Linked DNA regions of Nothobranchius furzeri. The protein of the gene in region 4 interacts with the protein of the main gene of each other region in a pairwise test. Links are inferred from orthologs where the notes say so. Each region holds a gene or a part of one and is shown on either strand. Other genes may lie near its edges. The genes, in order: syt11b, tmem174, ptn, sgta, serpine1, tmub2 and eva1ba.

The links.
Region 1: the proteins of sgta (region 4) and syt11b interact in binary tests that used the Homo sapiens proteins (3 or more experiments, as listed by UniProt). The two-hybrid records come from large-scale screens. The link is inferred for Nothobranchius furzeri from reciprocal best matches to the Homo sapiens genes SGTA and SYT11.
Region 2: the proteins of sgta (region 4) and tmem174 interact in binary tests that used the Homo sapiens proteins (3 or more experiments, as listed by UniProt). The two-hybrid records come from large-scale screens. The link is inferred for Nothobranchius furzeri from reciprocal best matches to the Homo sapiens genes SGTA and TMEM174.
Region 3: the proteins of sgta (region 4) and ptn interact in a two-hybrid assay, tested with the Homo sapiens proteins (2 studies listed by BioGRID and IntAct). The link is inferred for Nothobranchius furzeri from reciprocal best matches to the Homo sapiens genes SGTA and PTN.
Region 5: the proteins of sgta (region 4) and serpine1 interact in binary tests that used the Homo sapiens proteins (3 or more experiments, as listed by UniProt). The two-hybrid records come from large-scale screens. The link is inferred for Nothobranchius furzeri from reciprocal best matches to the Homo sapiens genes SGTA and SERPINE1.
Region 6: the proteins of sgta (region 4) and tmub2 interact in binary tests that used the Homo sapiens proteins (3 or more experiments, as listed by UniProt). The two-hybrid records come from large-scale screens. The link is inferred for Nothobranchius furzeri from reciprocal best matches to the Homo sapiens genes SGTA and TMUB2.
Region 7: the proteins of sgta (region 4) and eva1ba interact in binary tests that used the Homo sapiens proteins (3 or more experiments, as listed by UniProt). The two-hybrid records come from large-scale screens. The link is inferred for Nothobranchius furzeri from reciprocal best matches to the Homo sapiens genes SGTA and EVA1B.

Annotation. Positions count from the first base shown.
Region 1 is NC_091745.1:59,981,670-59,984,788, reverse strand, and holds part of syt11b (synaptotagmin-11b), read left to right. Parts: coding exon 1-185; intron 186-953; coding exon 954-1,074; intron 1,075-1,621; coding exon 1,622-1,932; 3' UTR 1,933-3,119. UniProt on the Homo sapiens protein: Synaptotagmin family member involved in vesicular and membrane trafficking which does not bind Ca(2+). Inhibits clathrin-mediated and bulk endocytosis, functions to ensure precision in vesicle retrieval.
Region 2 is NC_091746.1:66,616,895-66,621,775, reverse strand, and holds the start of tmem174 (transmembrane protein 174), read left to right. Parts: upstream 1-1,738; 5' UTR 1,739-1,747; coding exon 1,748-2,424; intron 2,425-4,881. UniProt on the Homo sapiens protein: Regulator of plasma phosphate homeostasis. Decreases serum inorganic phosphate (Pi) uptake by regulating the sodium-phosphate cotransporter SLC34A1 trafficking by PTH and FGF23 in the kidney.
Region 3 is NC_091741.1:42,131,196-42,135,539, reverse strand, and holds part of ptn (pleiotrophin), read left to right. Parts: intron 1-2,683; coding exon 2,684-2,845; intron 2,846-4,344.
Region 4 is NC_091748.1:79,890,902-79,895,684, forward strand, and holds the start of sgta (small glutamine-rich tetratricopeptide repeat-containing protein alpha), read left to right. Parts: upstream 1-1,341; 5' UTR 1,342-1,481; intron 1,482-3,658; exon of another isoform or gene 3,659-3,903; intron 3,904-4,632; exon of another isoform or gene 4,633-4,783. UniProt on the Homo sapiens protein: Co-chaperone that binds misfolded and hydrophobic patches-containing client proteins in the cytosol. Mediates their targeting to the endoplasmic reticulum but also regulates their sorting to the proteasome when targeting fails.
Region 5 is NC_091743.1:88,607,050-88,611,393, forward strand, and holds part of serpine1 (plasminogen activator inhibitor 1), read left to right. Parts: intron 1-3,465; coding exon 3,466-3,566; intron 3,567-3,861; coding exon 3,862-3,948; intron 3,949-4,344. UniProt on the Homo sapiens protein: Serine protease inhibitor. Inhibits TMPRSS7. Is a primary inhibitor of tissue-type plasminogen activator (PLAT) and urokinase-type plasminogen activator (PLAU).
Region 6 is NC_091745.1:10,231,250-10,236,148, forward strand, and holds the start of tmub2 (transmembrane and ubiquitin-like domain-containing protein 2), read right to left. Parts: upstream 3,018-4,899; 5' UTR 2,811-3,017; intron 2,062-2,810; 5' UTR 2,047-2,061; coding exon 1,403-2,046; intron 779-1,402; coding exon 385-778; 3' UTR 1-384. Other genes in the region: asb16 (ankyrin repeat and SOCS box protein 16), read right to left, coding at 3,577-3,762, 3,846-3,956, 4,391-4,474, 4,575-4,899.
Region 7 is NC_091745.1:70,961,294-70,966,139, reverse strand, and holds the start of eva1ba (eva-1 homolog Ba), read left to right. Parts: upstream 1-1,533; 5' UTR 1,534-1,897; intron 1,898-4,846.

The DNA.
Region 1 (3,119 bases), on a different chromosome or scaffold from region 4:
CCTTCACCTTCTACGGTGTGGCCTACAGCTCGCTGCCTGAGCTCACGCTGCACTTCTTGGTCCTCAGCTTTGACCGCTTTGCCCGTGATGATGTCATCGGGGAGGCCATGGTGCCACTGAAAGGTGTGGACCCGAGCACTGGTCGGGTCCACCTGAGCCAGCAGATCACCAAGAGGAACATGCAGGTGAGTTCAGACCTCCTTCAGCACCTCAGACTCAACACTTTACATTTTTTCTTTTACTGACATTTTGGGAAAAGGTCAAAGGTCATTTAATTCAGCTAAATGGTGGTCCTGCTGAGATTCAGCGTTGAGTTGGACTCAATAACTCACAATCATCTTGTCAGTGTGGCGCCATGTGAAAACACTCCTCTGCCGTTTCTGTCTGATTGACTGATGCTTCTGTCAGCTGTTACCATGGCGACTGGTTGGTCCAGACAATCAGCTGCTGTGTTCTGGTTTCATCAGGTTAGTGTCGGCTGGAATCCTGCAAGGTTTAGGCCTCGTTACAGAAGAATGTGTCTGCTGTCCAGCTGGGGCTAAGTCACTAGGCTTCATTGTTTTATCATGCTTCATGTTATCGGTATTGAAGACGCCACAAGTCGTGATCACTTCAGCTCCCCTCACTACTTAACCACCTGATTAAGTCAATAGCCTGATGTAAAAGTCCCCGTACAGGTCAGCCATGTTTGATCTGAGTAAAGTAAGCTTTTATTAGCCAGGCCTTCTGAGTCTCTTCTCTGGCGTCATGCTGCTCATCCTGGTCCTCTACTGGCTCCTGTTGGTCAGCGAGGACCAACTGACTCTCAGGAAACGTCCCATGAACATCTTGGTGTTTGTTTTTATTCAAAAGAAAAGATGCGGCAGCTGTGAGTTTATGGTGTCTAAAAGTTCTGAGAGAGAAACTAACAAAAGAAAACAGGCCCAACTCACTTACTCCTGGTTCTGTTTCAGTGTGAGAGTCGTGGAGAGCTGCTGGTGTCCCTGTCCTACCAGCCCGTGTCCCATCGTCTCAGCGCTGTGGTTCTGAAGGCCCGACACCTCCCTAAGATGGACATCAGCGGCCTGTCAGCCAGTGAGTAGAACCAGAACCAACTCAGCTCAGGCCCAGGTGAAGGAACTCTGTCAGTATAAGAGACAGAAACCCCAGGTGGACGGTTGCCACCATGATCCTAATCTGACCCACTTCTTTGCGCTTCATCAGCCTTAGAACTGGTCGGAAATCACTAAACTGGTTCCAGATCAGCATCAACTGATCCCAGGAACCTTTTCCATCAACATCAGGTTGAAACGGTCTCTTAGGACTCTTCATTCCTTCTTCTTCTCTCAAACCTTATGTCCTGTGTGGCAGAAAATGACGTCGCATTAAGTTGTGCAGGTGGAATAATGTTCAGCTGCCCTCCTGATTTTTTTCTCATTTAATATTCCTTCATCTGATTTCCTGTCCTGATCCCTGCAGTGAGGGGAATTCCCTCCTGGGAACCAAACAAAACCACATCCTGTGAAGCTCAGGGCTCAGACCAGCATATAGAGAACCACTCAGCTAAAGGAGGATGACTCCAGAACGTCTGGTATTTGAGCAGAAAACCTAATGATCTGACACATTCTTCTCCTGCCATCAGATCCGTATGTGAAGGTGAACGTCTTCTATGGCCGTAAGCGCATCGCCAAGAAGAAGACCCACGTGAAAAAGTGCACACTGAACCCGGTCTTCAACGAGTCTTTCATCTACGACATCCCACCAGAACTCCTGCCTGAGATATCTGTGGAGTTCCTGGTGGTCGACTTTGACCGGACCACCAAGAACGAGGTTCTGGGCCGCCTGCTCCTCGGTCTCCACAGCCCGTCGTCCTCTGGCACCTCCCACTGGAGGGAGGTGTGTGAAAACCCCCGCCGGCAGATCTCCAAATGGCACAACCTGAGCGAGTACTGAAGGAGGAGAAGCTTCAGGAACCAGCTGATGGCACCGAGCAGCTGGGACTCCACCAGTGAACCCCCACTGGAAACAAACAGTGTACAGCACATACACACACACACACACACACACACACACATATACACACACACACACACATACACTCCTGCAGCACACACACTGTTGTGGTGATACTTAAACTCTTCGTCTCTATTATCTCTTTACAAACACGACATTTGCAAGTGTAAGAAGATTCCTGCGGTTCTTTTACTAAACAAAAAACAAACAAACAAGCGGCCCATTTCAGACACTGTCCTCGTGTCTCCTCTGGCTGTGTGTGTGTAGACGGGGGAAGGAATGCTCTCGTATAATTAAAAACTAAAAGTTTACTTAAGAAAAAAGAAAAGATCCCCTCTCGCTGTCGTTGTCATGCACTTCATTGCATGTCTGTCTGAAAAGAAGAAGTAAACCTGAGTGATGATCTGGGAGAAACCTCAGCTCCATAACAACATAACCCAACACTGACTATATCCAGTAGAATTACTCCTCAGTATAAGAACTGGTGCTGACGCCCTCGGACATCCCGCTCTGACGCTTCTCCGCGCTGACTAACCTCCTTCTCAGAAGGTCTTTGATTTAGTCGTCAGCATGCTTCCCGTCTGCAGCGGTCCTGCAGAAACGCGGCGTCCTGATCCAGAACCACAGGAAGTCACAGTCCGTCCCCACATTAGCTCCAACTCTAATGTGGACTCAAACCGGTTCACATCTCCTGATTCCTCCACCTCCGAGTGACGGCGGCTAAAATGTGATGTAAAAGTCTGAAGCAGTGGGCAGATGTGCTGCAGATGTCTTAGAACAAAAAGCTGCTCAGAAAAGTTGACCAAAGCTCCTGAAAACATTCAGCCTTTTTGTTCCTTTTTGTTACTTTTCATCAAGTCCTTTTATAAACACACACACACACACACACACACACACACACACACACACACACACACACACACACACACACACACACACACACACACACACATCTCTGATTCTTTATCATTGGGGTTTGATGAACTTTGTAACATTTCTAAAGATGCTTCAAGTCTTTAGAGACATAATCCGTTCAGAAACTGGTGAAGATAAAACATCCTCAAGGTCAAATCCAGGAAATAAAATATCAGATTAACTAAACCATCATGCATCAAAAAGGTAAAATA
Region 2 (4,881 bases), on a different chromosome or scaffold from region 4:
AACAGAAGTTGTCATGTGACTCGCATCACCTGCCCTGTGAATGAGTCCGTTAAGGTGCTGCAACGTCGCTCGATTTCACAGCTTCCCTGAAGCTTCTGCTTCCAGCGGTTCATGGGAACATTTCTTTTACCTTAGCAGACATCTTGGATCAGATCCAGTTGAATCTACAAGCATGAACTGTGTGTAATGGTTCTAGCTGTGAAGCTAAAACACCCGGTAATATGGAATGTTTCTAAGCCCTTCGCCTCTGCACACTTGCTGAGCCTCAGCAGCACGAGTTGCTGATAATAAGTTATGCACAACGGCGCAGTCAGACAACATATCTGCAGGAAGTGAAGTGTAACCCTTCAGATCATGCCTGCAGAGTTTTCAGTGTTTGACCTTTCTCCCCGCAGCTCCTCAAGCAGACCATGAACAGACATAAGGGGGAGTTTACATCTGGTGCTAACATGACTTCTGGCTGATCCACTCATGGTTGGACACCTCTGAGTGTATTGGTTTGTACAACACACGTCCACATGCATTTGGAGTGGCCACATGTGATCAGATTTTCTTTCCCCTCTCGCTATCAGCAAATAAACACGAGACCAACATTTCCAACAGCTTGCTCCTATCCTCTCAGCCGTGGAGTTTTGTAACGTCCTTTACTACCGTGCTTTGTTGGAGATGACAGAGCGGCGTGAATCATGGTTTTGTGAAGGGATTCCTATTCCAGCCTCATCACTTCCCGTATTGACTACTGCAACGCTCTTCTCTTCGGTCTTCCTCACAAAACCCTCCGGAAACTCCAACTTCTCCAGAACTCGGCAGCCCGCATCATTACCAGAACTCCCTCCTTCCACCACATCACCCCTGTTCTTCAGCAGTTCCACTGGCTCCCAGTCACTTCCAGAATCCAATTCAAAATTCTGCTATATACATTCAAAACCATCCATAACCTAGCTCCACCGTACCTCTCAGACCTCCTTCATCCTTCAACCTCCACCCGTTCCCTCAGGTCCTCCTCCTCCATCCACCTCTCTGTCCCACCTCTCCGTCTGGTCACTCTGGGGAGCAGGGCCTTCAGCCGCTCTGCTCCCCAGCTCTGGAACTCACTCCCTCCTGACCTCCGTAACATTGATTCCCTCACTCTCTTTAAAACCAGACTCAAAACTCACCTGTTCCGTCTAGCATACCAATAATTACTCTCTTTGCTCCAATCTGTCTGTTTGTTTTATGCTGTTTTATCTTTTATTGTTGTGTATTTTATCTCTGCCTGTAAAGTGTCCTTGAGTGTTTAGAAAGGCGCTGTTGAAATAAAATGTATTATTATTATTATTAGTTTTCAGCTTTAGGGGGTTTAAAGTTATTGTTTCACCACAAGGAGGCTGCAGCCCCACTTTACCTGTTAAATCCACAAATGTGTGAGGAACAGCTTTGTGATCTGTCCTTGTGAAGTCAGCATGAATGAGTGCTAATCTTTCTCCTGCACTAATGTCAGCTTCTCCATCTTCTCCTGTGGTCCTAACACTGCCCAGTGGTGTCACATCTTATCTTAGTTAATTATTTACAACAAACCAAGATGCATTTTATTGACTTCATAAACTATTTAATAATCTGACCATTTCAGTCAGAAGCCACATCATTCTGACCCCCCCCCCATGTTTACGTGACTAACGGGATGCAAAGCAGGTTAACCTGTGACTTGTTCTCTTGGCTGTAAGCATTCAGAGTTACTCAGTGTTCATGCAGCTGAACTCACTGTTCCATGCGGGACACAGGTTGTCCCAGCTTGAGTGTTTACACACTCAGAGAGCTCATGCACCAACAAGGACGTCAAGACCGCTGGACCAACATGGTTGGACAACGACCTGAGTTAGAGACCAACAATGATGCTCCACGGCCACAGCTGTCTGAGAGTTTGTTGGATGGCGAGAAGACTGCAGCGGCCTTGTTGCTATCCGGAGTCCTCCTCGCTATGGTGGGTGTCACCTTCACTTCGATGGGCTGGCAATACTACCAAGCTAACCTCAGCTTCCAGTGGACTCAGCTTCTGGGCCCTATCCTGATCTCAGTTGGTGGTACCTTCTTGCTCACCAGCGTCTGCAAGTTGAGGTTCCTTTCTTGCTGCAGACAGCAGGAAGAGGAGGTTTATGTGATACCCGTCAGAGAACAAGGCTCTGGAGGACACCCTGTAGTGGTTCGCAGCATTAATTCACCAGAGATGCTCCCGAGTGCTGCTGCAATGCTTTGCATTCCACCAACTTACAGCTTCATTACCCAGGAACTGTACCAAGGAAATCAGCTGCAGCCTGGTACGACTGTGAGTGGAGTTAACACGGGCCCTCCGACTTATGACACTGTTTGCTGTGCAGGAAATGCTGGATTCACTGCAGAAGACAGCGCAGCCCACACCTCACAAACAGGCCAGAAGAGGATAAGCCGGTAAAAAAATTCATAAACGTGTCTTTGTAAGGGAAAATGCATCATTTCCCTCATTCTTTACATGAGTTCCTGTTAAAAGACTCATTCACCCATTTTTTCCCTAGTAAATATGTGGTCTTGAGTGTTAATGAATGCCTTGTGAGTCATTTTCAGTGGGGAAAAAAGCTCTGGTGCTTCGGTTTTAATAATAATAATAACAATAATGCATTGAACTTATATAGCACTTTTCTAGACACCCAAAGACGCTTTCACACACTCTCACATTCACACACTGCTAGTGATGGTAGGCTACTTTGTAGCCACAGCCGCCCTGGGGAGGTCTGACAGAGGCGAGGCTGCCATTTGGCGCCGTCGGCCCCTCTGATCACCACTAACACAGGCAAGTTGGGTGAAATGTCTTGCCCAAGGACACAACAGCAGGATACCCCTGGCGGGAGCTGGAATCGGACCCATGACCCTCCGATCATGAGGCAACCCGCTCTACCACCTGAGCTACTGCTGCCCCGTTTTAGGAAGTAGAAGTTTTTCAGAGGAGAAGGGGTGGACAAAGAGGATTATGAGTCTAACTCGTTACTTTTCACGATATGCAAATATCTAGTCTCTGATTGGCTAACAACAGCACAACTCTTCTGCTGCCTTTAACAAAGTCAGAACACTGTAAAACACATGTTCTTGGGTAAAAATTAAAGTTGATGTCTTATCTCCACAAATTCTTCATGCCCGAACTGGTTCTGCCATGTTGTGGAGTTTCTAATGCTAACGGTAAACTTCTACTCGCTGAGACGCGCTCTGCTCTCTCCTGGATGCAAAATTACTACAACTTTCTTTGGTCACAGGCCATGGCGGGCGAGGATATGAATGCTAATATTCCATGTGACATGAGAGACCGGCTCCGTTTCCCATCTATTTTCTTTCTGCGGGGGTTGAAAAAATGTTGACATTCAGTGTGAATATGCAAATCAGTAACCAATCATATTTCTAAAAGAGCAAGTGTCACACGGTTTCTCAACATTTAAGGCCTCCATTAATGAAGACGTAATGAAGATACGTGTCAGAACCTGGATGGTCTTTGTAAAGTCTTTACAAGGTGTTCCGGCTTTTATTAAAAGCCCCATGGCCTCCCTATTAACAGGGCGGGGAGGGTTTTGAGCAATATTCTGTCTCAAGGAGGTGGTAATTAAAAATCATGAGCCGTGTTTCCACTATAAGAATTCTGGGAAATTCTTGGATGGGATACAGAGTTGCTGCGTCTCCATTCAAACTCAGCCCTTGCTGGACTTTGCTAAGGCATCCGCATTTCCCGAATGCTTCAGCAGTGATTGATGTCACTGATCAGAGTCAAAAAGCTTCCACAGACATTATTGACTTTAAAAGTTTTACTCTGTTATAGTTCAGCACAATTTAATTGAGTCGGAATAACCGGGAGAGCTGTTGAATGATGTGAAATGACCAGAAGAAGCGTCATTTATAATAAAACCCTGTGAATTTTGTCGTTTTGGGGGAATTTCCGCTGCATTTATTGGTGTTGGGAGTTTGGTAATGGCAATGTTAAAGCAGCGTGAACACTCTTTTTCTTTCTCTTTTATTCCCATCACCAGCAACTTTTCAAACTTTACAAATGCTAGTTGTTAGCTAAAAGTTCTGCTCAGCGACTCTACCGGGTCATTCGAGGTACTTATGATGACGACCCGCACTTGTATAGCGCCTCTCAGAGTAAGGACTCCAAAGCGCTTTACACTACAGTGTATCATTCATCCATTCACACACACACATTCACACACCGATGGTGATGTGCTACAATGTAGCCACAGCTGCCCTGGGACGCACCGACTTACCCCTGTTTAGATATAAGACATGCCCAGAAACTGGTCCTTTTGGCTGGGCCGTTGAAGTGGAAACACGTGCGTGCCGTGAAGTTCCAGTAAAATTATCCTTCAGTTCCATTAATGGAAACACGGCCATGGTGAGAAGTGTACACGGGCCAAAAGGGACCATGGAAGCAGCACATCTATGATGTGTGACCCCAATGGCCCTGTGTGACTCCGGTACTGGGAATGTGTGTTGGCTAAGATCCTGTCACACCATGACATACCAGCTCAGTGGCCCAGTTGTATGAGTGAAACTGGGAGATTCAGATTCATGTTTGGGTCATATCACTTAAACAAACGGGACCCGATGCCTCCCTGCTTGACACTCAGCTTTAAGGGGTCGGATTGGGGGAGAAATGCAGCACGACCTTTGGAAAGCCCAGGGTATAGCATGGTTTGTTGTGATTGAAGCGGCAACCCTTTTTGACCCAACTGGTAGATGTTGACAACTGCTATGGTTGACGTAGGGATACATTTCGATAGAGAGATGAAGTTGCCAGCACCTTACGCCATGTTGGTTCTGGTTCCTGTCACACAAAGAGAGTAGCACAAATACTTATATTTCCTCAGCTGTTCCATAAAAGAAACT
Region 3 (4,344 bases), on a different chromosome or scaffold from region 4:
GAATATCCGCCCCTCCAAAAACTTGCATCCACACCACCTCGTTTAAAAACAAACTCTGTCCACACGTACCCGGATAAATACGTTGTTAAGGACATGCCAGACCTGTAGGTGGCAGTACTTCCCCCGTTCTTAACCTCGTCCTTCGTCTGTGGTCTTCCACAAGGAGCAGTAATTCCGCTTGCAAAAACAAACAAGCAAAAAACGCTTGGACAATTGATAAAGCGAGCGCAGCTCTGAGGGCATCCATGATGCCGGCTAGTGTAAACACAGGTCGCACACGTGATGTCAGCATTTTTTGTCGCGGAAAGTGACGTTGCGGACCTTAAAACTCCGGTTTTGTCCGTCCACACGCAGACACCCAAAACGGAGAAAACGCAGATCTTCACTTTGGCCGGAGTTTTTAAAAAGATCCGTTTTCATGTGAAAAAACTCTGTTTTCGTGTGGATGACAGGCCAAAACGTAGAAAAATATCTACGTTTTGGCAGATCCCCGGCTACGTGTGGACAGGGCCTAAGATCTTAAAATGTTTGGATTTTTATGTATCCTATTTGCTCTTATTGCTCTACCAACCTCTGTGTTGTTTGTAATGATTGTATCCCTGTTTTTTTTACTTGAAGTTGTCCTTGGTTTTGAGAAAAGTGCCCTCGAATTAAAGGGGCATTATGGAAGTTTGACAGCCAAAACATGTATAGAAATAATAAATGTCTTCTTCTTACATACTCCTGCAATGCCCAGGTCCTGTAGAATGAGCCCTGGCATTTTTACTGTGATCGCCTGTTTTTCTGTGAAATCACAGAAAAAGAGAGATGCTCGGGTCGAGCAGGCTGCTTCATGCGTGTTCATGCTCAGGCATAGCCCGTAGCATTTGCTATCAGTAGCTTTAGCAGCAGAGAGAGAGGTAGTGCCACTTTGTCAATGTTTTTATTTGAGACTCTCCGAACGGCATTGAATTCACAGATAAAAAAGATGTGGGTTCAACTTTCATTTTGGAACAATTTTTCAAGCAAGGGAAGGGAATGATCTGAGCATGCAGGAGGACTGACCCATCTTAAACCTTTGTCGGCTGTGCTGAAGAGAAAGCTACAGAACCAAATTATTTAATTAATTAGCTGCGCGTTCTCCTGTCCTCCCCCCCCCCCCCCCCCCCCCCCCCCCCCCACACACACACACACAATGGACTGTCTCAGCTGTTATTTTCGTTAAGGAGTGTGCACGTACAGCATGCGTGCCTCGTGCACGAGCCTACTATTGAAGCTGCTGTTACACTTTTGGCCTGAGGGGGCAATCACAAGCATAAAAATTCAAAAATCCGTTAAGTCCCTTAAAGTGTATTATTATTATTATTATTATTATTATTATTATTATTATTATTATTAGAGTTGTGGGGAGGGGAGTACAGGGATTGGCCTGGCATATGCCAGTCTTGGAATCTGATTGGCCACCCCAGGAGCCACCTGACTGAGCTCACTGAAGTGGCTCATTAACCACCACAGCAGCTGCAAGAAGAAGAAGAAGAAGAAGAAACAATGTGGCGTTCATGAAATCACTTAAATGAAAGAACTGAATAATTTTGCCCCCCCCCCCCCCCCACACACACACACACACACACACACACACACACAAACAAAAAAGCATGACCATAGGTGCCACCATGCATAAACAAGTGCCCCACCAGGGGCCCCGTATGGAAAGGCTTGGGCACGCCACTGTTAGCCGGACCAAAAACAGAGAAAACATTTGTAACTGAATGACTGCAGAACAGTACTAATGGTGCTTTATTGCATTGTTACTCCTGATAAATCTACTTTCAAATACTCAGCAGTGTCTTACAACCTTTAATATATTTCTTCACGTCACCTCAAAGAAGGCATTAGTTTCCTGACAAAACCTCAATGAGCGGGGAGCTCTCTATCTCTCCCAGACATAAATTACGCCGGGCTTTTTAAAGTTGGTTGCTCAGGAGGTCCCTGTGGGATTCCTGCAACAATGGCCCTGTCACTCCCTCTCTGCGCTCTCCTTCCCTCGGTGTCCTCACCTCTCCTCCTCGCCTCTGATGAGCACTCTGGGATCTTGGCAGCGGTGACACGAGCTTTTATGTGAGAGGGAGCTGACGAATGAGTGTCACAGCCTCGAGGGAGCACAGCTGGACTGACGCCAGAAAATAAAGGAGAAAATACGCAAACACACATGCTCTCTAAAGTCACGTCTATAGCGTGCACCAGCTTCTGCATCCCTTTTGACTGTGTGGATGTGCAACAAGAATATGTGCTTTCATTTTACTGATCAGCAGCTGAAGATTGGATCTGCCTTTTTCAAGATGGAGAAACTAGTTTTCCCAATTGCATTCATCAGTTGGCGCATGTCGTCATGTAAGGAACATCAGATCAAAACTGTAAGGTGCCATCTGTTTCTACAGGGAAAAACATCCTTTGTTGCAGAGATAAGCTTCTTATGAAGTCGCTACATGGAGGTATCAGCCAATTGCTCATCAAAGAGCCATTAAAGGTCTATGACTCACAAATCCCTTAGCTCAGAGCGCTCCTTACAGTCAGTCACTGCAGTTAAAACAAATATAGAATCAGCCTTGTGTCGTTTTACAAGCTTTTCTGTCAGTTCTGTCCTTTTTCAGTGCTTCACTAAACCAAGCCATCTGAATTCTGCTTTTCTTTAATTTTTCTTTAGGGGAGTGCAAGTATGACTTCCAGGCCTGGGGGGAGTGTGATCTGGCGACAGGCAAGAAGAACAGGACGGGGGTTCTGAAGCGAGCACTGATGGACGCGACCTGCGCCGCCACCGTCACGGCAACCAAGCCATGTGGGAAAATCCTAAAGACCAAGCTGCAAGGTGAGAAGAATAAATCGTGGTTTGATAAACCCAAACCCCTCGCTGCACACTTTGAGCTCATCTGCAGCCTCATGGACTCGCTGAAGCCATGCTGATGAATCACAGTGTCTGCAAAACCGTGGCACCAGGGTCTGAAAAGATAATTGAGGTGTACTGCTCAGCATTGATACACTTTTAAATAATATACTTAATCAAATGTGACTTGGACATTGCTTGGTGTCTGACTGTACCTGCGGAACCTCCTGCACTGATTTTGTTTTCTTCATCTGCACTGAGGAGGTGTGTCTAATCAACTCTGCTGCCATTGGCTGAATGTGAGCAGGCAGTACAAACAGTCACCACATCATTCTGGAGCAGAAATGACTTTGTGCTCAGACCAAACAGTCTCATGAGTAAGAATTTATCACATAGGAGCAATCATCAAGTTTCAAGAAAAACACACTCATCATACAGAAAATAACAGAAAAAAAATCACTCCTTCATCTTCTAAAACTCTTCATCCTCAGCAGGGTAGTAGTGTCTAACTCCAGCAGTCAGCGGGTGAGAGATGTGGTACACCTTGGACGAGTTTCCAGTCCATCGCGGAGACAAACAACCAGTCACACACTCACACCAAGGGACAAGGAGTGCCCAATCCTGGTAGCCTGGCAAGGCATCCTATATATGTGAAAATAGAGTCCGGCCATGACCCATAAACAGAGCAAAGTCATGGGACAAAATCTAGGGTTGTCTTTCAAACTGTCTCCACATGCCATTGGACAATGAATAATGTGACGTACTCAACACTATGGATGTAAGTCTACGGGTCAGTCTACCACAGACTGTCAATGGAGATGCAAATACCTCCTGTATTGTGTCAGGCAGCACTGAGACATCTACAATTGGTCCAGAATTTGGCAGCCATATTCCAGACAGGGATGAGGAAATCAGCACACATTACTCCTGTGCTGGCTTCATTACACTGGCTCCCTGTAGGTTTTCGGGCTAGGATGAAATTTCTGTGCTATGTCTTCCGGTTTCTTCATGGGAACCCTAATGGAGTGTGACTAAATCGAAACGCAGAGCAAAATCATTTTGCTTCGCCTCCTGTCTGTCTAGATTTCTAGGCTACAATCCTGGTCCTAGAAGCCCACTGTCCAGCATGCTTTAGTTATTTCTGTGCTCCAGTGTATCTGACTCTATAGTTGAATCACCTCTTCAGCAGATCACAAGGTTCTGCAGAAGTCTGTTAATCACCTGCTGGTTAAAATCAGGTGTGTTGGAGCAGAAACACAACTAAAACATGAAGGATAGTGGCCCCTCCAAGAGGCAGGGATCGGTTTTTTTCACCGTTGGGAGGAAAGTGGAACACCTGGACGAAACCCATGTATAGAGGGGAAAAACATGCTCTCCATGGAGAAAAGCTGCAGCTGGGATTTGACCTTCTGACCTTCTTGCTACAAGGCAACAGTGCTTCCAACCACATTGCCACACAGCCCAGACAAAAATATTCATCATCT
Region 4 (4,783 bases):
TGAGTGTTTTATCATTGTCATGACGTTGTAACTGTTTGTATTTTTGCTGCCTCTTGGCCAGGTTCTTAACCTCAATGGGTCTCTATCCTGGTTAAATAAAGGTTTAAAAAATCTTTTAAATCTTCCTTTCATTAACTAGAGCACATAACCTAAAACTCTTAGCTGATGAGGTTCAGCAGCGAGAAACTCAACAATGAACACCTGGCAGGAAAAAAACCAAACTAAACAAAAACTTTGTAATTCCACAACAACCCTAACCTGCAGGCACATTTAAAACATCTGATATATATATATATATATATATATATATATATATATATATATATATATATATATATATATATATATATATATATATATATATATATAAACACATGTAGAATTGTGAGATAAATTGTGAATTATTTTAATTAAAACAACAACGTAAATATATATTTACGTTGTTGTTTTAATTAAAATAATTCACAATTTATCTCACAATTCTACATGTGTTTATATATATATATATATATATACATATATATATATATATATATATATATATATATATATATATATATATATATATATATATATATATATATATATATATATAACACATGTAGAATTGTGAGATAAATTGTGAATTATTTTAATTAAAACAACAACGTAAATATATATTTACAGAAAAAAATGAGAAGGTTGCCAATGAATCTTGTATTTTGCTACTTTTGAAGGGTTCATTATTCTGTAATTTTAAATGTAAGCCAGTCCACAAATGTCTGAATATCACCTCAGGTCAGGATTTTATGGTTAACGCTTCAGTGTCATCAATCCTAACTGAAGTCTGAAATAAGGTGTGTGCACCCTGGAGTCCGTGGTGAATGGATGACTCTCCAAGTGTTCGCTACTCAAGCGGGAGTTTGAATTTGGAGTCCAGCTGTGGGTTCTTAGGCTGAAAGGTCAAGCTTCTCATGGTTGCTGTTCTGACGCGTTCAGTGGAAACCGGTGGTCATAATGTTATGGATAATTGGAGTAAATGAACTATACAAACAGACCAGCAGGGGGCGATGTCAAAGGGAAAGTCGCGCTTCACGTAGTTTGTCCCTGTAGGGCCGCCGTAGCGCTGAAAAATACAAACGCCTTTTCCATCGTTTTAAAGGTGAGAACAACTTAACAGGTAAAGATTCCAGTTAAACACCTCAGATGAACCCGCTCACGCGCCTTTAGCTGACCGCGTCTTCAGGAGGAAAGCTGCAAAAGTCTGTCCTCATTTATTTCATTTCTGCTCGTCGGAGGCGGAAATGATTCGTTATGAGGATTTTAGAGACACGGTTATTAACTTTATCTTTACTTCCTGTGAGGCTCTGGAGCCTCAGCAGGACGCAGCTCCAGGTCACGGGCAGGCTCGTGTCCGGAGAGGTGGAGGTGTTTCTGCGGACCCTGGAGCTGCCTGAGCCCCGGAGGACTGGCTCGTTATCCGGACTCCTGCAGAAGGACAGGTGGGTAGGGACGAGCTTCCGGTTCGGTCCTGGCTGCAGGCTTTCCGCGGGGTCTAAAAAGTCCTAACAGCGTTGAATTTAGGAATTTGGAAATGATTCCTTAAAAGGTCTAAAATGAGTGCGGAACGTAAATGACCCGTACCGTGTTTGTCCTCTAGAGTTTCATTTGTCAACCACCATCATTTTTATATTACACCTTATTGTTTTATAACGTAGCATAAATAGAGTGGCGGAACCAATAATAGAGAACCGCCTCGGGTCTAAATACTCCGAACACGTGACGTATTCAGCTCCCGCGCTACAGCAGCGATCCAAAACGGTAAACACACACCGTGTGTGTGTGTGTGTGTGTGCGCGTGCGCGTGGACCACACAGACCTCCAGCAGAGGAGGAACATAGAACATCTCAGCTCATGAGAAAGGCTGACTGACGCCTAGGGCGGGTTCCAGAACTCTGGACCTCTTTGGGACTGAGTGGAAACACTCGTAGGTCCCAGGGCCGGATTAACACTTTGTTACCCTGGGCAACAATATTCAAGGGCCCCATCATAACAACCCAAGAATCACCACAATATGGTCACATACAGAATATTTTACTGTAATATGCAGTAAATATACTCAATACTTGAATGCCTGACATCACGTAACCCGCTCAGGGTAACCTTTGACCCACCTCGTGTGGACTGACCAATGAGGAGAGGGTCTTAACTTGAGGCCCTCTCTTCTGGTCCAAGCTCTTTGACATTAAGTTTTCCACCATAGTTCTCCTCTCGAACGGATACTGGAGAAGAGACCGAACTGAATTCAGTGGCTGCTGAGATCCGGTATCCATGCTGGTTGTAGTCACCGGCGGCGTCCATGTTACATCTGCGTCACGACCAAAAACGTGCTGGAGTAGTCGAGACTCTCCGAGTTCTACCGAATACCAACGAAAGCCTTTGGCGGTAGCTCTATCGCCCATCATGCTTCTGAATCGACGTCGACGCTGATTGGATACATTCCCATTCCTACCGTTTGATTTTCTTGTCAGCAATTGGCCGGCAGCTTCCGTGCTGTTTGGGCGATTGAAACACAGCCTACAGCCTTTCTGTCGCCTCCACCGCTCGGCAGAGAGCTTCTCACCAATATAGATATATACATATATGATTTGTTTTTGTTACAAATCACACAATTAACTTAGAATATGTGATTATTGTTAATTTTATTTATTTTTTTTTAATTAAAATTAAAAACACTGGGGAAAACTGGGAGGGCGGCGCCCTATCACCCTCTACTGGCCAGCCGCCACTGAAAGCAGGAGATTACAGATACAGTATTTTGCTCTTGCCCTTGCTGCCCTGGGCCCTTTAGAGTTCATGGGCCCCTGGGCAATTGCCCAGTTGCCCATATGGTTAATCCGGCCTTGGTAGGTCCCAAATATCAGAAAAAAGTGTTAAAATGTCCCGATGTGCCACTGCAGGTCACATGACTGATCCCGGGTCACGTTATGAGTGGAGCAGGCGCGTCTCCTTTCAGCAACATTAACTAGAAAACAAACGTTTGGGTCGTTTAGCTAAAGTACGCAGCAGCTAAATGCATCAGCAGGAATAGCAGCAGTTTCACCAGCACCTGGTCGTGCAGGGCGGCATCTTAAGAGCTGGAACATGGAACGTCTCTGACTGCAACCAAGTCAACCCGAGTCCATCACCTTCCCAAGCCCTGGAGGAGTGTGAGGATGGAGGCTGATGACAGCAGACCTGGCTGCTGTTATAAAAGCAGTTCAGCAGGTTGTTGTTAACTGCTGTTACTGACATGAAGTCAGCACTAATGAAGCTGCTTTATTCATGTTTACATGTTGGGCCTTTACTGTTTGCACTGCAGCTTTGCTGGAATAAAGTATAATATCAATAAATATAATAAAATAATATAAAGAACACAACCTTTAAGTACTTTGTTATCCTCTCTTCTCGCCATCGTTAAAGTAGTAGTATGAATAAGTACTTCATGGTACCCAGCCCCACTGATGCTGTTATAGACATGTGTTACGTTTAGGGCTGCAACTAACGATTATTTTCATAATCGATTAATCTGTCGATTATTTTTTCGATTAATCGATTATCGGTTTGTTACTGTTTAGCTATTTAACCTATACAAGTGATGGATGCATTTCAGTTAAGAAAAAAAAACATAAGAGAATTGTGCAGTTGACTGCAATCTATTTTATTGCACATGAACACAGTCAGCAGTAGAAAATGAGCTAAACAGTGCAAAATATCAGTCCAGAATAATTTTTTAGCATTAGCTGGAAGCCTGCTCCTTCCACCATGGATAGTGGCCTCATGTCTTTTACCAGCATGTTTAGAATAGAGTTTGTAAGTGGTATGCATTGCTGGGGGGTGAGTGTCTTCTTCCCCATGTAGTTGTCCATCGTTGCTTGTTTTTTTCTGCATAAGAAACACAAATAGACTGAAATAAGTACACATATAAAATAAAGCAGCACACACACTACAACACTAAATCAATGTTAAATTATTTGAATTAATTAACAATATACAGTGATCATTTATTTTGAGGGTTACGTTCTACAAAATAGCCCGCAACAGGAGATATTAAGAAAAAAAGTCTAATTTTTTTACTATTAAAAAGCTCAGAGTAAGAAGCTCATGAGGTTTTTACTTTGAGTCGGGAGTGTTTAAATTAGCTAGAGAAATGTGAAAAATGTTTATTTTGTGTAATACTGTTTAAGAAACATGATAAAAATGTGTTGTGAGGCGTTTTACAGCGTTAGACAGTAAAACAGCCTTTTAATAGTAAAAAAATGACTTTTTCTGAATTTCTCCTGTATTTAAAAATTGAAAGCGTACAACTATGCCGCGTTATATTCACCTGGACACAGCTTGTCTGTATATTTTTCACCGCAGAGTTGTCCTTTTTTGAATGAGGAACATAGTTATGGGTTTGTGCCGTTTTTCTCTTAACGAGAACATTCTTATAAACAGACGTGCTAAATTTGGCAAGCGCATGATTCACAACACGGAGGAGATTCACGATTGCATCTAGTCAATCAGAAGTAGAACACCGCAGACTGACGCGGCAAAAAAACATGTTTAACATCCACTATAACGAACTCAGCTAAAACACTAAGTCCAGCTTGTTTATTTTCTGTTACTTACCGGGCTGGCTCTTCCAAATGACGGCTCACTTGACCGCGGTGCTCTTCCTCTGCTGCATCAGCCCCCACATGCTTTCGTCTCAAATGTGCTCCCATACTCGTGAGGTTTTTGTCCGGGGTTTCTCTTCAGTTTTGTCGCGTCTATTTTTCTT
Region 5 (4,344 bases), on a different chromosome or scaffold from region 4:
AGAGACACTTTATAACAGTGTAACTGGAGACTTAACAGAGACACTTTATAACACTGTAACTGGAGATTTAACAGAGACACTTTATAACAGTGTAACTGGAGACTTAACAGAGACACTTTATAACACTGTAACTGGAGATTTAACAGAGACACTTTATAACAGTGTAACTGGAGACTTAACAGAGACACTTTATAACACTGTAACTGGAGATTTAACAGAGACACTTTATAACAGTGTAACTGGAGACTTAACAGAGACACTTTATAACAGTGTAACTGGAGATTTAACAGAGACACTTTATAACAGTGTAACTGGAGACTTAACAGAGACACTTTATAACACTGTAACTGGAGATTTAACAGAGACACTTTATAACAGTGTAACTGGAGACTTAACAGAGACACTTTATAACACTGTAACTGGAGATTTAACAGAGACACTTTATAACAGTGTAACTGGAGACTTAACAGAGACACTTTATAACACTGTAACTGGAGATTTAAAAGAGACACTTTATAACAGTGTAACTGGAGACTTAACAGAGACACTTTATAACAGTGTAACTGGAGATTTAACAGAGACACTTTATAACAGTGTAACTGGAGACTTAACAGAGACACTTTATAACACTGTAACTGGAGATTTAACAGAGACACTTTATAACAGTGTAACTGGAGACTTAACAGAGACGCTTTATAACAGTGTAACTGGAGACTTAACAGAGACGCTTTATAACAGTGTAACTGGAGACTTAACAGAGACGCTTTATAACACTGTAACTGGAGACTTAACAGAGACACTTTATAACAGTGTAACTGGAGACTTAACAGAGACACTTTATAACACTGTAACTGGAGATTTAACAGAGACACTTTATAACAGTGTAACTGGAGACTTAACAGAGACGCTTTATAACAGTGTAACTGGAGACTTAACAGAGACGCTTTATAACAGTGTAACTGGAGACTTAACAGAGACGCTTTATAACACTGTAACTGGAGACTTAACAGAGACGCTTTATAACAGTGTAACTGGAGACTTAACAGAGACGCTTTATAACACTGTAACTGGAGATTTAACAGAGACACTTTATAACAGTGTAACTGGAGACTTAACAGAGACGCTTTATAACACTGTAACTGGAGACTTAACAGAGACACTTTATAACACTGTAACTGGAGATTTAACAGAGACACTTTATAACAGTGTAACTGGAGACTTAACAGAGACGCTTTATAACAGTGTAACTGGAGACTTAACAGAGACGCTTTATAACAGTGTAACTGGAGACTTAACAGAGACACTTTATAACAGTGTAACTGGAGACTTAACAGAGACGCTTTATAACAGTGTAACTGGAGACTTAACAGAGATGCTTTATAACAGTGTAACTGGAGACTTAACAGAGACGCTTTATAACAGTGTAACTGGAGACTTAACAGAGACGCTTTATAACAGTGTAACTGGAGACTTAACAGAGACGCTTTATAACAGTGGAGACTTAACAGAGACGCTTTATAACAGTGTAACTGGAGACTTAACAGAGACGCTTTATAACAGTGTAACTGGAGACTTAACAGAGACGCTTTATAACAGTGTAACTGGAGACTTAACAGAGATGCTTTATAACAGTGGAGACTTAACAGAGACGCTTTATAACAGTGTAACTGGAGACTTAACAGAGACGCTTTATAACAGTGTAACTGGAGACTTAACAGAGACGCTTTATAACAGTGTAACTGGAGACTTAACAGAGACGCTTTATAACAGTGTAACTGGAGACTTAACAGAGACGCTTTATAACAGTGTAGCTGGAGACTTAACAGAGACACTTTATAACACTGTAACTGGAGATTTACCAGAGATGCTTTATAACAGTCTAACTGGAGACTTAACAGAGACGCTTTATAACAGTGTAACTGGAGACTTAACAGAGATGCTTTATAACAGTGTAACTGGAGACTTAACAGAGACGCTTTATAACAGTGTAACTGGAGACTTAACAGAGACGCTTTATAACAGTGTAACTGGAGACTTAACAGAGATGCTTTATAACAGTGTAACTGAAAATTTAACAGAAATGCTTTATAACAGTGTAACTGGAGACTTAACAGAGATGCTTTATAACAGTGTAACTGGAGACTTAGAGACACTTTATATCAGTGTAACTGGAGACTTAACAGAGATGCTTTATAACAGTGTAACTGGAGACTTAACAGAGATGCTTTATAACAGTGTAACTGGAGACTTAACAGAAATGCTTTATAACAGTGTAACTGGAGACTTAACAGAGATGCTTTATAACACTGTAACTGGAGACTTAGAGACGCTTTATAACAGTGTAACTGGAGACTTAACAGAAATGCTTTATAACCGTGTAACTGGAGACTTAACAGAGATGCTTTATAACAGTGTAACTGGAGACTTAGAGACGCTTTATAACAGTGTAACTGGAGACTTAACAGAGATGCTTTATAACAGTGTAACTGAAAATTTAACAGAAATGCTTTATAACAGTGTAACTGGAGACTTAACAGAGATGCTTTATAACAGTGTAACTGGAGACTTAGAGACACTTTATAACAGTGTAACTGGAGACTTAACAGAGATGCTTTATAACAGTGTAACTGGAGACTTAACAGAGATGCTTTATAACAGTGTAACTGGAGACTTAACAGAAATGCTTTATAACAGTGTAACTGGAGACTTAACAGAGATGCTTTATAACACTGTAACTGGAGACTTAGAGACGCTTTATAACAGTGTAACTGGAGACTTAACAGAAATGCTTTATAACCGTGTAACTGGAGACTTAACAGAGATGCTTTATAACAGTGTAACTGGAGACTTAGAGACGCTTTATAACAGTGTAACTGGAGACTTAACAGAATTGCTTTATAACAGTGTAACTGGAGACTTAACAGAGACGCTTTATAACAGTGTAACTGGAGACTTAACAGAAATGCTTTATAACAGTGTAACTGAAGACTTAACAGAGATGCTTTATAACAGTGTAACTGGAGACTTAACAGAGATGACAGATTCTGTCTGTTAGGATAATTAAGTCCTTTAGTGAGAGGCTGATGATTAGTCATTAACACACACACACACACACACACACACACACACACACACACACACACACACACACACACACACACACACACACACACACACACATCTGAAAGGAGCCTTCCCAAGGCCTCTGGTGGTCAACCTAATCTTTGTGACTTTCCACACCTGGTAACTGACGCTGCTCGACAAACAGTGAAGACTTTCTCTGAAAGTGTGTGTAACTCTTCTTTCCTAAGCCCAGCGATAGGTGTTCCTCTTGTCTTTTAGCCTCTCAAAGCCAGACTATATAAAAAAGACTTGAAATTAAACAGATCCACATTAACCTGTTGAACCTGTGAATGGAGAGCAGTAGGCATAATACACGTCACTGATTTCTATTTGTTGTGTCAGGTTTTCTCTAAACTCTGAAGTGGATCTGAAGGCTGCTTTGATCAAAATGGGACTTGGAGACATGTTCAGCTTGGGTACCGCTAACTTCACACATATAACACGTGAGTTGGTATCTCAGGAGATTTAGTCGGGTATCAATGGTCTGCCATATATGTATTTTTCTCTGTTTGTATGTTTAAGCCCAAGATCTTCAACAAATTGCGTCTATAACATTATTTCTGTCTTAAACCTGTTAGTAGTTGTCTGTTTGAACTCTGACATGTTCATGAGTTTATCAATAATAATTACATGTTATGAAATAAAATGACATCCTTGAGCCACGCCAAAGCCAAATGATGCAGGTGAACTCTGAAAGATGACACTGGGAGCTCATAGCTTCTTGTTTATATCTTACAGCCAATGAGAGGCTGTGTGTGTCAAAGGTCCTGCAGAGAGTGAAGATCGAAGTGAATGAGCAAGGAACAAATGGAGCATCGGCTACAGGTAGGCACAGATTATATCAGCTGGAATAAATTGTTGGATTCTACAGACTCTTAACACTCTGCAAGGTTCTTCATCAACCCTGAATGCAGAGCTGAACTGCTCCTCAACGCTCTGAGGTTACAAACACATCTAAGTTGAGCTATGGCAATAATTCAGCTAATGCCTTAACCAGAGCCTTTATCCTTGTTTACATATCTGTTAGAAAGACAAAAAATTGAATTAAGTGTATTCAACACCTGCAGCTTTTCGTGTCGGCACTCTTCCAGTTGGCCTATGTTTACAAGTAGTAAACAAACGCTCATTTGTTTTCTTGTCCCTCTCCTCTCTGAGGCAAACGTAAACAAATTGCATGTGCATAAGCATCTATTTGCAAATCAGTGATGAATGTATTTCAAA
Region 6 (4,899 bases), on a different chromosome or scaffold from region 4:
GCATATTTCTACAAAGCAGCAAGTCTTGGGCTCGCTCGCAGGCGTTTGCACTGTTTGTTTCTATTCATTCAAATAATATGAGTCAAAGTGGCGATGCGCAACAGTCAGTGGCTTTAAAGGAGTTCTTGTTTAGAAACCAGAACCTCGCTCAAGCAAGTTTCATGAAATTCTACCAGTTAAATATGAGACTAAGTGTTTAAACATGGTGGTGACCACATAGTCCTAACTGAAAAAATAATGGTGCAGTTAATCCTTATTAACTGCATTTAAACAGTACAGCTTTTTCCTAACAGGCTCACCTTGTTGCAGCATCAGTTCATCTTTCTTCTTTTATTTGAAGCTTTACAATATTTTACTGCATGTGAGAGCCAAGTCGCCGCCTTCTCAGCGGCTGTGCATCCCAAAAATGAGAAAGCTAAAAAACACAGTGACTCCCACAAGGGAGATGGTCGCAGGGGCGGTGAAGAACTGCCTGTAGTTGATACGAAAGTACCACACCACAGCCAGGATCACCACAAACACAGGCACCACCAGGCTGCTGGTGCTGATGGCCACACTTGCAGCTCTCAATCCTCCCGAGGGCCCAGAAGAGACCCCTGTTCCTGCCCCGGGCTGAGCCCCCTCCTCCAGGCTAGCTTCTTGCATGGACTGGGTGATGTGGCAGTGGATCACGCTGTTGTCTGTGATGTTTAGGGAGAACAAAGTCCTCTTGGGGTCCTGCAGCAACTGGCCTCTGAAGATCAATTTGATCTGATGCTCCCGACCAGGAAAGCATTTGCTAAAATAGAAGACGGATAAAATAAAACAAACAGGTCTTAATGTTGAGCAAACAAGCTGCAGACAGCTCAAATCTGTTACAGGGTATCTGCAGGTTTAAAGGAGCCAAATTTAAGACTTTTTAAGACCTTTTTTAAGGCCACTTTGACCAAATTTAAGCAATTTTTTTTTATTAAATTTAAGCTATAATTTCCAGCTATTGCCTGGAACCAGTGCTAACCACGTCGTGAACGTGAGATTAGCCATCCAGTTACCATTAATGTTGCACTTCCCCATGGCGCAAGCTCCCACTAGCATGCTCATCTAAAAATAGCCCCCTTTCACAACCAACCGAACGTGTACGGTTCCGCTTACGCCAACATCGTACACAAAAAATGCTGAACTAGAAATTCACGAAAATTTTACAGAAATATAAGAATCTTGTTTAATGGGTCTTTGGTAATTTAAGACCGTTGGAAACTATTTAAGGATTATTTGTAATTTTTAAGGATTATTAAGGCCTTCAATTTGGAAAAGCAAATTTAAGACTTTTTAAGGACCTGCAGATGTGTTTGTGAATGTCATTTGAAAGTATGAAATTAATGTCGGATTAGCTGTGAGGTATTTGTTTTGTTTCTTTACAAACCTTCTCAATATTCCTACTGTATCATGTGGCTCCACCACAGCCACTTCTTCTGAGTCATTTAAAAACTTCAACCGAACAGAGATGGAGGTAGTCGTCCCAGTGGTAGCGATGATGGTTCTGGTCAGAACTGGTGTAGGCTTTACTTGCTTTTTATCTACCCGTTTTAAATCCTCCACTTCCTCCTCCTCCTCATCATCATCATCCTCCTCCACCTCATCACGTTCATCCTCCTCTCCATCAGAAGCATGCAGCCTTCCAGCCTGAGGTTTTTTGCTCTGTATGTCCAGCAGAAGATCGGTCCACACCCCTTCAGCTCCAGCTCCTTCTCCTGTCCCCTCACCCTCTCCTCTCTCAGTCTCAGGCTCACTGTCGTCTGGCTTGTTTTCCTGTGAAGGTGGAGGGGTCTGCTGCTCAGGGGCATCGGCGCCAGCGGGCCCTCCGCTGTAGTTGTCGTGACCTCCCAGTCCTATGAGAGAGGCGTGAGCGCCCACTGTGAGGATGGTGCCCAGTATGTGGTCTCCTCGATCAGCTACGTGGGTGGAAAGCCAAGCCAAGATGAGGGCCAAGCCAAGGAGCAACATGCCCCCCGCTGCTGCTACCTCATCCCCCAACCCATCCATCATGGTCAGTGCAAAGACTGCCATCCCTGTCCTCCAATCCTGCAAGAGACGTGAATATGAGGAATATGACTCAAAAAGGGAACAAGGCCAAGTGAAACCACAGCATTTGCATTACTACATATTAACTCGAGTCCACATCTGCCACTAAAATTTAACATTGCACTCGATGTGTGGAAAAATATAACGGGACGCAAACTTGTTGTCCCCTGGTTTCAAGAGCAGAAACCACCAGAATTCAACCATCGTGACGGTCTTTTAGAGAAGGCTCAGAAGTTGCTGCAGGTATTTCCCGAAAACCCTGTTTTCCACCAAACGATGGTAGATATTTAACGAACTCAAACCCAGGTTATTTTGAATCCTAAAAGTAGTATATTTCAATATATAAACATTTAAAGAGTAAATTTAAAACGCATAGTCGTTAACGTAAAAACAAAGGAAGTGACAGTAGCAGATGTCAGTAAAGCTCTCCAGGTCTAAGCTTAGAAACTAATTACATTACTTGACAACAACGTTACACCACGTTTATGTTTATTGACATTCAGTCTTTAACCAGACGATAAAAAGCAGATTTACTGTTCTGCTAAACTGTCATGTTGTAGTTTTTGCTAGCAAGCTAACTTAGCCCTCCAGTTAGCCTAGCTAGCTAGCTGGCTGTCTGAAAAAAACGACCTTCGGCTGTTTACAACCGCATAACTCGGTTACTTTGGCCGCAACAGTTTTCACATTAAACGCAGGCATCGAGTGGACACCTACAGTCCCCCAATCCAGTCTACCTGGAGAAGTCTTACCTGTCAGCCGTAAAGTCAGAGCATGTCTAAACACCAGATTCAGTTCTAGTTAGCAGCTGCGGCTAAAAAAAAAAGAAAACAAGAATAAACAGTGCAGGCGGTGCGACGTCATCAACAGAAGGAGGAACCGGTTGTTATGGTAACGAGATTAGCTTGTTGCTTCTTTATTTTACTACATTGTGACAGTCAGAGCAGATGGTATCATCACTTCTCCTGGTGTTTATGGAGGTTTCTGATCTGACTTCAGCTCTTCAGGCTCGCTGAAGGTCTTTAGACCGGTTCCCTTCACACATCAGCTGATTCTGCTCACAGGGCACGATTATACCCACAATGCATCTGGGTGCACTATTTCCAGCAGCAAAAGTCGGATCAAGGAATTTATTTTAGGTTTTCTGTCAAACGCTGTGTGGCTGAAGGTAAGAGTGTGAATGAAATGTTTCCATCTAAATATACTCTAAACATGTCTAAATAAAACTCCCTGTTGGTGGATAAAAAGCCACAATGACAATTTAAAAGTATGCAGTTTTTTTATGTAGCCAAGGTTAAAATGTCTGTTTTTAAAAGTGACTTTTTTTTTACTTTTTGGAAAATGGTGTGATGAAAAGGAAACAAGCTTAAATTTATTGCATTTATTTATTCCCACTTTGAAATAAAAGCATTGATTTATATGTAAATACAAGATTAGTCAGGAAAATGGCTTTACCAATGATAAACAATAATATAACTTGTCTAATGTGTCCACAGATGGCACAGAAACATTAAAACTTTACTTTAGAGTCCCATCATTGTACAGCAGCAGATAATCCCTCACTGAGCTGGGAATGTCCAGTTTCCCGACAGCTGAGTGACATCGGGCTCCTAAATGCAGCCGCAAAGCGTGTCGACTCAGATGCTGCAGGGAGCGAGGCGAGGCACTTCGCTGATGCACCAAGTCTAAGAAAGGCCCGTGCTCCTGAGACACAGAGGCAGAAACACACCCACAGTGTGGAGGGTAATCAAAAAGAGAGTTCATTTATATCCTGTCACACATCTTACCTCATACACCTCATCAGACAGAGAGTCCATCCATTCACATGGAGGGAGGGACATGTATGAATTCAGCATCACTTCTAGAACGGCAGGGACCGGAGCACAGAGTTTCAGCATCTGCAAAGACAGCAATGACATCGATATCCCATAACAACGCTGACAAAGAGCCAAGCTGCAATAAAGAGAGGTTAAAGCATTCACTGGCTTTCTTTAAATAAGCTGCATTGTGTTTGCCTTGTTAATAGAGTAAAATTAAACTCACACATTTGTTTCCAAAAAGTATTTATGTATAAAATGAACAATCAAATAGAGTGAAATGGTCTACAGATAATCTATTAACTGAGAAAACAAAACAATCAAATGAGCCAAAAATGTTAAAAAAAAGAACAAAAATCATATTTCTGTAAAAAAAAAAAATAGATGTTATAGTTTGTGTTTAGTTCACCGAAGTGTAGGGTAGAATATCATCAACTGAGCACATATTTGTAAAAACCAACAATAAAAACTAAGTGAAGCTTGTGTTTTTATGCAGTGTGGCTGTCTGCATGAACCTTTGGTGAAACAGGTTTGGCTCCGTGGTTCAGAAGGGATCGCGCTATCTCCTCAGGTTGTTGGGTTTGGTAGTCTTCCACCACCTTTAGAGCCAAGCAGAAGTTTTGTTTTTATTTAAATAAAACATCTCTGACTGTCTCTATGGTGACTGCACATGCAGTGTTAAATGTTCATGTCAGCTACCTGCAACAGACAGTCCATTGGAGTGTACCCTGCACAGTTTTTAATGTCGGCTTTAGCTCCGTGCAGCAGGAGAACATCTGCAATTCTGGAGCAGCAGTTTGCACAGGCGTTGTGCAGCGGGGTGTGCCGTTTCCTGCCCGCAGTTTGGGGATCAGCTCCTGCACCCAGCAGCTTCTGGATCACTCGAAGATAGCGCCCTGCTTCAGAAGGCCTTTCCGCTCTGGAGCATGCAGCATTCAGAGGAGTCTCGCCCTCCTGATTAGTGGCTAAAACATCTGCTCCATGGCTGAGAAATAGCTCCACATGCTCCTCCAGGCCTCGCTGG
Region 7 (4,846 bases), on a different chromosome or scaffold from region 4:
GAAGAATGTGTGCTGCTTGGTTGCACTTTATTTGCAGACGTGACTTTGTCTAATTCGTGCATTCCCTAATTTTTTGGGTGTAGAAATACTATAGGTCTGGACCTTTACTCATACGTTAATACATTTGCAGAGATCTCTAGTGGAATAAATGTCTTATAAGTCCTTCTTTAGGGGACAAAAGCTCTGGTGCGCCTGTTAGATAGCCTGGCAAGCCATCCTATTTATGTGAGTAGTCTGGCCGCAACCCATAGAAAAAGTTCAGCTGAGGGGCAAAATCTATGGTTTTCAAACTGTTTCAGCATGCTTTTGGACAACGTGACATACTCACCGCTACTGATGTCAGTCAATGGGGCAGTCCGCCATACACAGTCAAAGAAGACACAAGTACATCATTTTTCCAAATAAAGGGCACAAGTACCTCTATCTGCTCTTGACTCAAAGAAAAGCACAAGTCTTTTCATTTCAAGTCGATTCAAATGAGCCATCTTTGTGGTTTCGCTCTGTCGCATCGCCACTAACAAACAGAACACTGTGTTTAGGCTCCCAAACAGACAGTACTTTGAATGGCTTCCCAAACAGCTAAAATGCTTTGATTGGCCCCCAAATTGATAAAGCACTGTGATTGGCATGCCACCAGACTGGTCAGGGCTACAGAGGCTCCAATGGACCATGGCTAGACCGACATGTAGAGCAACATTATTTTTCTCTGGCAACTGTCTGTCTAAATTTCTAGGCTACCTGGCTACAGGCTACCTGTTTGAGGAACTAGAAGTGGGCCAGATCAGAGTTGAGCTGAAGACAGCAGGATTTGGAGTCTTATTTCCTGATATTGGGTTAACTGCAATGCGACTCTACCACTGTTTTATCTCAACAAAAAACACAAGCCTGAAGGAGTTCTGCCTTGTTGCTAAAGCTAACAGTTAGCTTCTACTAGTCGAGACGTTCTCTAAAGTTTCTTAGAAGCTAAACCAGGCCACAGCCTTCCCTGTTGTCGGTCAAGATGGGTGAGTCCATGAATGTTAAGTGACAATGTGAAGTAGATCTGTCAGGCTTTGTAATAATAATAATAATAATTACAATAATTGTACTAATTTTCCAGCCTTTCATTTAAAGGTAATCTTCACGCATCGCTCCACCAAGAATGTGTTTCACCAGCCGTCCACCACTGGAATTCAGCCAGCTTTATTTGACATGTCAGCGATTTATTCTCATCTGTGTCTAATGGAAGGTGTTTTGTTGAGTTTGCTGTTGCTAAAAGAAAAAAGATTAACTTCGTTCTGCACATCAGATCTTGTTCAGCTCCTTGTTGATAGAAGTCAGCCTTTGCCGACTTCAGTTGTTTACTCTAAAGGTGTGAATGCATGCAGAGGATATGACAACTTGTGACAACACCCCTCCTCTGGCATACAGCCACCGGCTTTAACCTCTGTCATAAACAAGGCTGGAGAAGCGAGCATTCACTCCCCACAGACACTCAGTCATAATGAAATGCTTTATGGCTTTACGACAATTTATTTATGGCACATGCATGACCGTTTATTCCCTTTTGACACAATTTCTGCCCTTTTACTGGGATGTGTCAAAGTCCTTGTTCCCAAGTAAACATCAGCTCATGTTGTTATCACAAGTGTTTTGTGTGCTGACTAAAAGCTGCAGGGGGTTTGTTCCGGTAGAAGAGGTAGACGACCAGCGGGTGGAAGCGCTGACCGCCGTCCAGATGGGTGCCTCTGGTCAAAGCTGTTGATTTAGTCAACCATGAGTCAACAGTTCCCACAGAGGGGGATGGCAGGATGGAGAGCACAGGAAGCGCGATGGTGATGAATGATTACATGGAGCTAGAGCTTGTGTCATGGGGGCCAACAGGAAGCAGATGCCTGAATGGTTCAGAGGGACAAAAGTGAGTGATGTGTACCAAATATTATGGGTGTGGAGTGCTGTAACTGTAGCACTTTTAGAGTGATTGTGCGAGATTGTTATTTTGCAGTGCAAACACAATGTCTTCTAGTTTATTCTTAAAGGAAAAGAACAGTGAAAATTCTCTTGATGATATAGATCTTCGTCCCCCCTCCCCCTGCCACACCTGGTGTGAGGGGTTGGGCCTTGGTCTGCCTGAGAGTTTGTGGCAACCGGGTCTGGGGGTTTAAGGTTTTGGCATCTGCCTGATAGATCCCGGTGGCTGCCTGGTGGGGTCTGGGTCCCTGGGCTCTGCTGGGTCCCCGGCAGGGGTGGTCGCCCCTGGGTCCCGGGCTCGGCCGGCTAGGGGGTGGGAGGTTGCGGGCGGGCCTGTGGCCTTGCGGCTGATGTCTCCCGGGACTCTGCCGGCTGCTGGTTGTGGCCCCCCGGGGCGATCCTCTGTGCCTCTCGGGGGGGGGGGGCTTTCTGGTTGCAGTCTCCTTGGGGTTCCTGTGTTCTGGGGCAGCGCCTGGATCTCTGGGACTTGGAGCTCCCCCATCTCCTGCGCATCTTTGGGGGGCAGATCTGTGGTCCCTCACACTCTCTGTTGGACGCTCCTACAGAGAAACCTTAAATAAACAAGCGCATGTACACACACAGGTGCTCACATGGTGCTCTCAAAAGTATGGGTTTGGGCACGAACATATTTTTTACGAATATATTTTTTCATCAAGTTGACGCAGTGATAGCTTGATCTTGTTGTATTGTTGTTGTGTCCCTTTTTTGTCCTTTTGCTTTTTTTTCTGCAGGTCTAGAAGCAGACTCTTGTTCATTGTTTATTTTTGTGGACCCCCCCCCCCCCCTCCTCTCTCCCCACCTTTTCTTTTCCTTTCTCTTTCACCTCTGTCTCCGTGTCTGGTCGGAATTACAAAGCATTCAAAAACAATAACAATAAAGTTTTAAGTATCAGGCGTGACATTAAAAGCAGATGCTTTGATGCTCCACCTGAGAGTAAATCTGTAAGGCTTGTCACCAGCATTCAGACATCAATTCTGCTTGCTTCACAGCCAGACAGGACACGGTAAAAAAAAAAAAAAAAAAAAAAAAGGAAAAGAACAGTGAAAATCTTGTGAATTTATTTGCTATCTTTTGATAGATGAATTTTTTTATTCATTTCACAAAAGCATTTTCCTGGCAAGCCATCCTATATATGTAAATACGCTGCCTGGCCCAAAAATATTTTACCACCAAGAGAAACGATCACACACTCCAATATTTTGTTAGACCGCCTTTAGTTTGATTATAGCACACATTCGCTGTGGCGTTGTTTTGATAAGCTTCTGCAATGTCACCAGATTTATTTCCATCCAGTGTTGCATTCATGTTTCACCAAGATCTTGCATTGATGATGGTAGAGTCTGACCGCTGCACAAAGCCTTCTCCAGCACCCCCCAAAGATTCTCAATGGAGTTATGGTCTGGACTCAAAACCACTCTTTCACCATCTGAGCCCGATGAATCCTGGCATTGTCATCTTGGAATATTCCAGTACCATCAGGGAAGATGGAATAACCTGGTCATTCAGGATATTCAGGCAGTCAGCTGACCTCATTCTTGGAGCACATCCTGTTGCAGAACCTGAACCTGACCAACTGCAGCAACCCCAGATCATAGCACTGCCCCCACAGTACAGTAGGCACTAGGCATGATGGATGCATCCCTTCATCTGCCTCTCTTCTTACCCTGATGCACCATCTCTCTGGAACATGGTCCATCAGTTTTTAATAATGCGTTGGACAGGTTTTAATCCAGTTCTAGTCATTTCTGCAACCTCCCTTGATGTTTCCTGGACAGCAGTAGGTCAGGAGGTAGAGCGGGTTATCGGAAGGTTGCAGGTTTGATCCCGGCTCTAACCAGAGAATGCTGCTGTTGTGTCCCTGGGCGTAATGCACTGTGACCACGACCCATAGACAGAACTCAGACATTGGGGTGGAATCTATGGTTGTCTTTCAAAATTTCTCCACATGCAATTAGACAGAACTAGGACCAATCAATGCAAGGAAAAATATGGCATATTCATAGTGATGGAAATCAGTCAATGGGGCCGTCCACAATACACTGTCAAAGAAGAAGTAGAAGAAGAAAAGGTATCTCTCTTCGCTCATGCCTTTGACAAAAGCCCAGGTCTAAATTATCTAAATTTAATGCTAATGTCACCTCCATTATTGTTGTTTCGTTCCGTCACAGCTCTGTTGTCCTTGTATAAAAAAAGAAAAAGCTCTGTCGTAATGGGGCTAGACAGCCCAATGTTTCTCTACAAACATAAAGCGCTGTGATTGGCTCGACCTAAACTTAGCCTAGTCAATGACCTAGCCTAGCCTAGACCTGCTGAGGCCACGATAGAGCATGGCTAGATCGACCTGCAGAGCTAAATCTTTTGCTACTGCTCTGTTTTGTCTAGATTTCTAGACTTCGAAAGCATCACTTCAGTCACCTTTTCCCATCATCCTCTCATCTGACCTGTTGGGTCCTGTCCACAGAATGTTCTCTGAAGTCAACCTTTTAACATGCTGACTTCTAACCTGGCTCTCCTCCACACACCCCATCAACAGCTGTGTAGCTGTGTTATTATCTCGATTACACTCCTCCAACACACTCCTCTGGGCCCAACCTTAAAAAAAGAGAGAGAGAGAGGGGAGAAAGAGTAATGGCTTTAGCTTGCATCGTTTAGGCTCAAACACATTTTTCCCTTTCTTATCTTCAAACTGCACACCCTTGTTTGTGTTTTACATAATCACAGCCTAATCCACTGTCGGTCATTCACTGTGGGGAAAAAAACTGAATGGAGACAGATTGTTTGTTGACAACTTATTTATACCAGTTACTAAGTTATATGCATTTGAGAATGGGATTTCTGAAGGCCTCACAAACGGCTGAGGTTTTAGCATTTAACT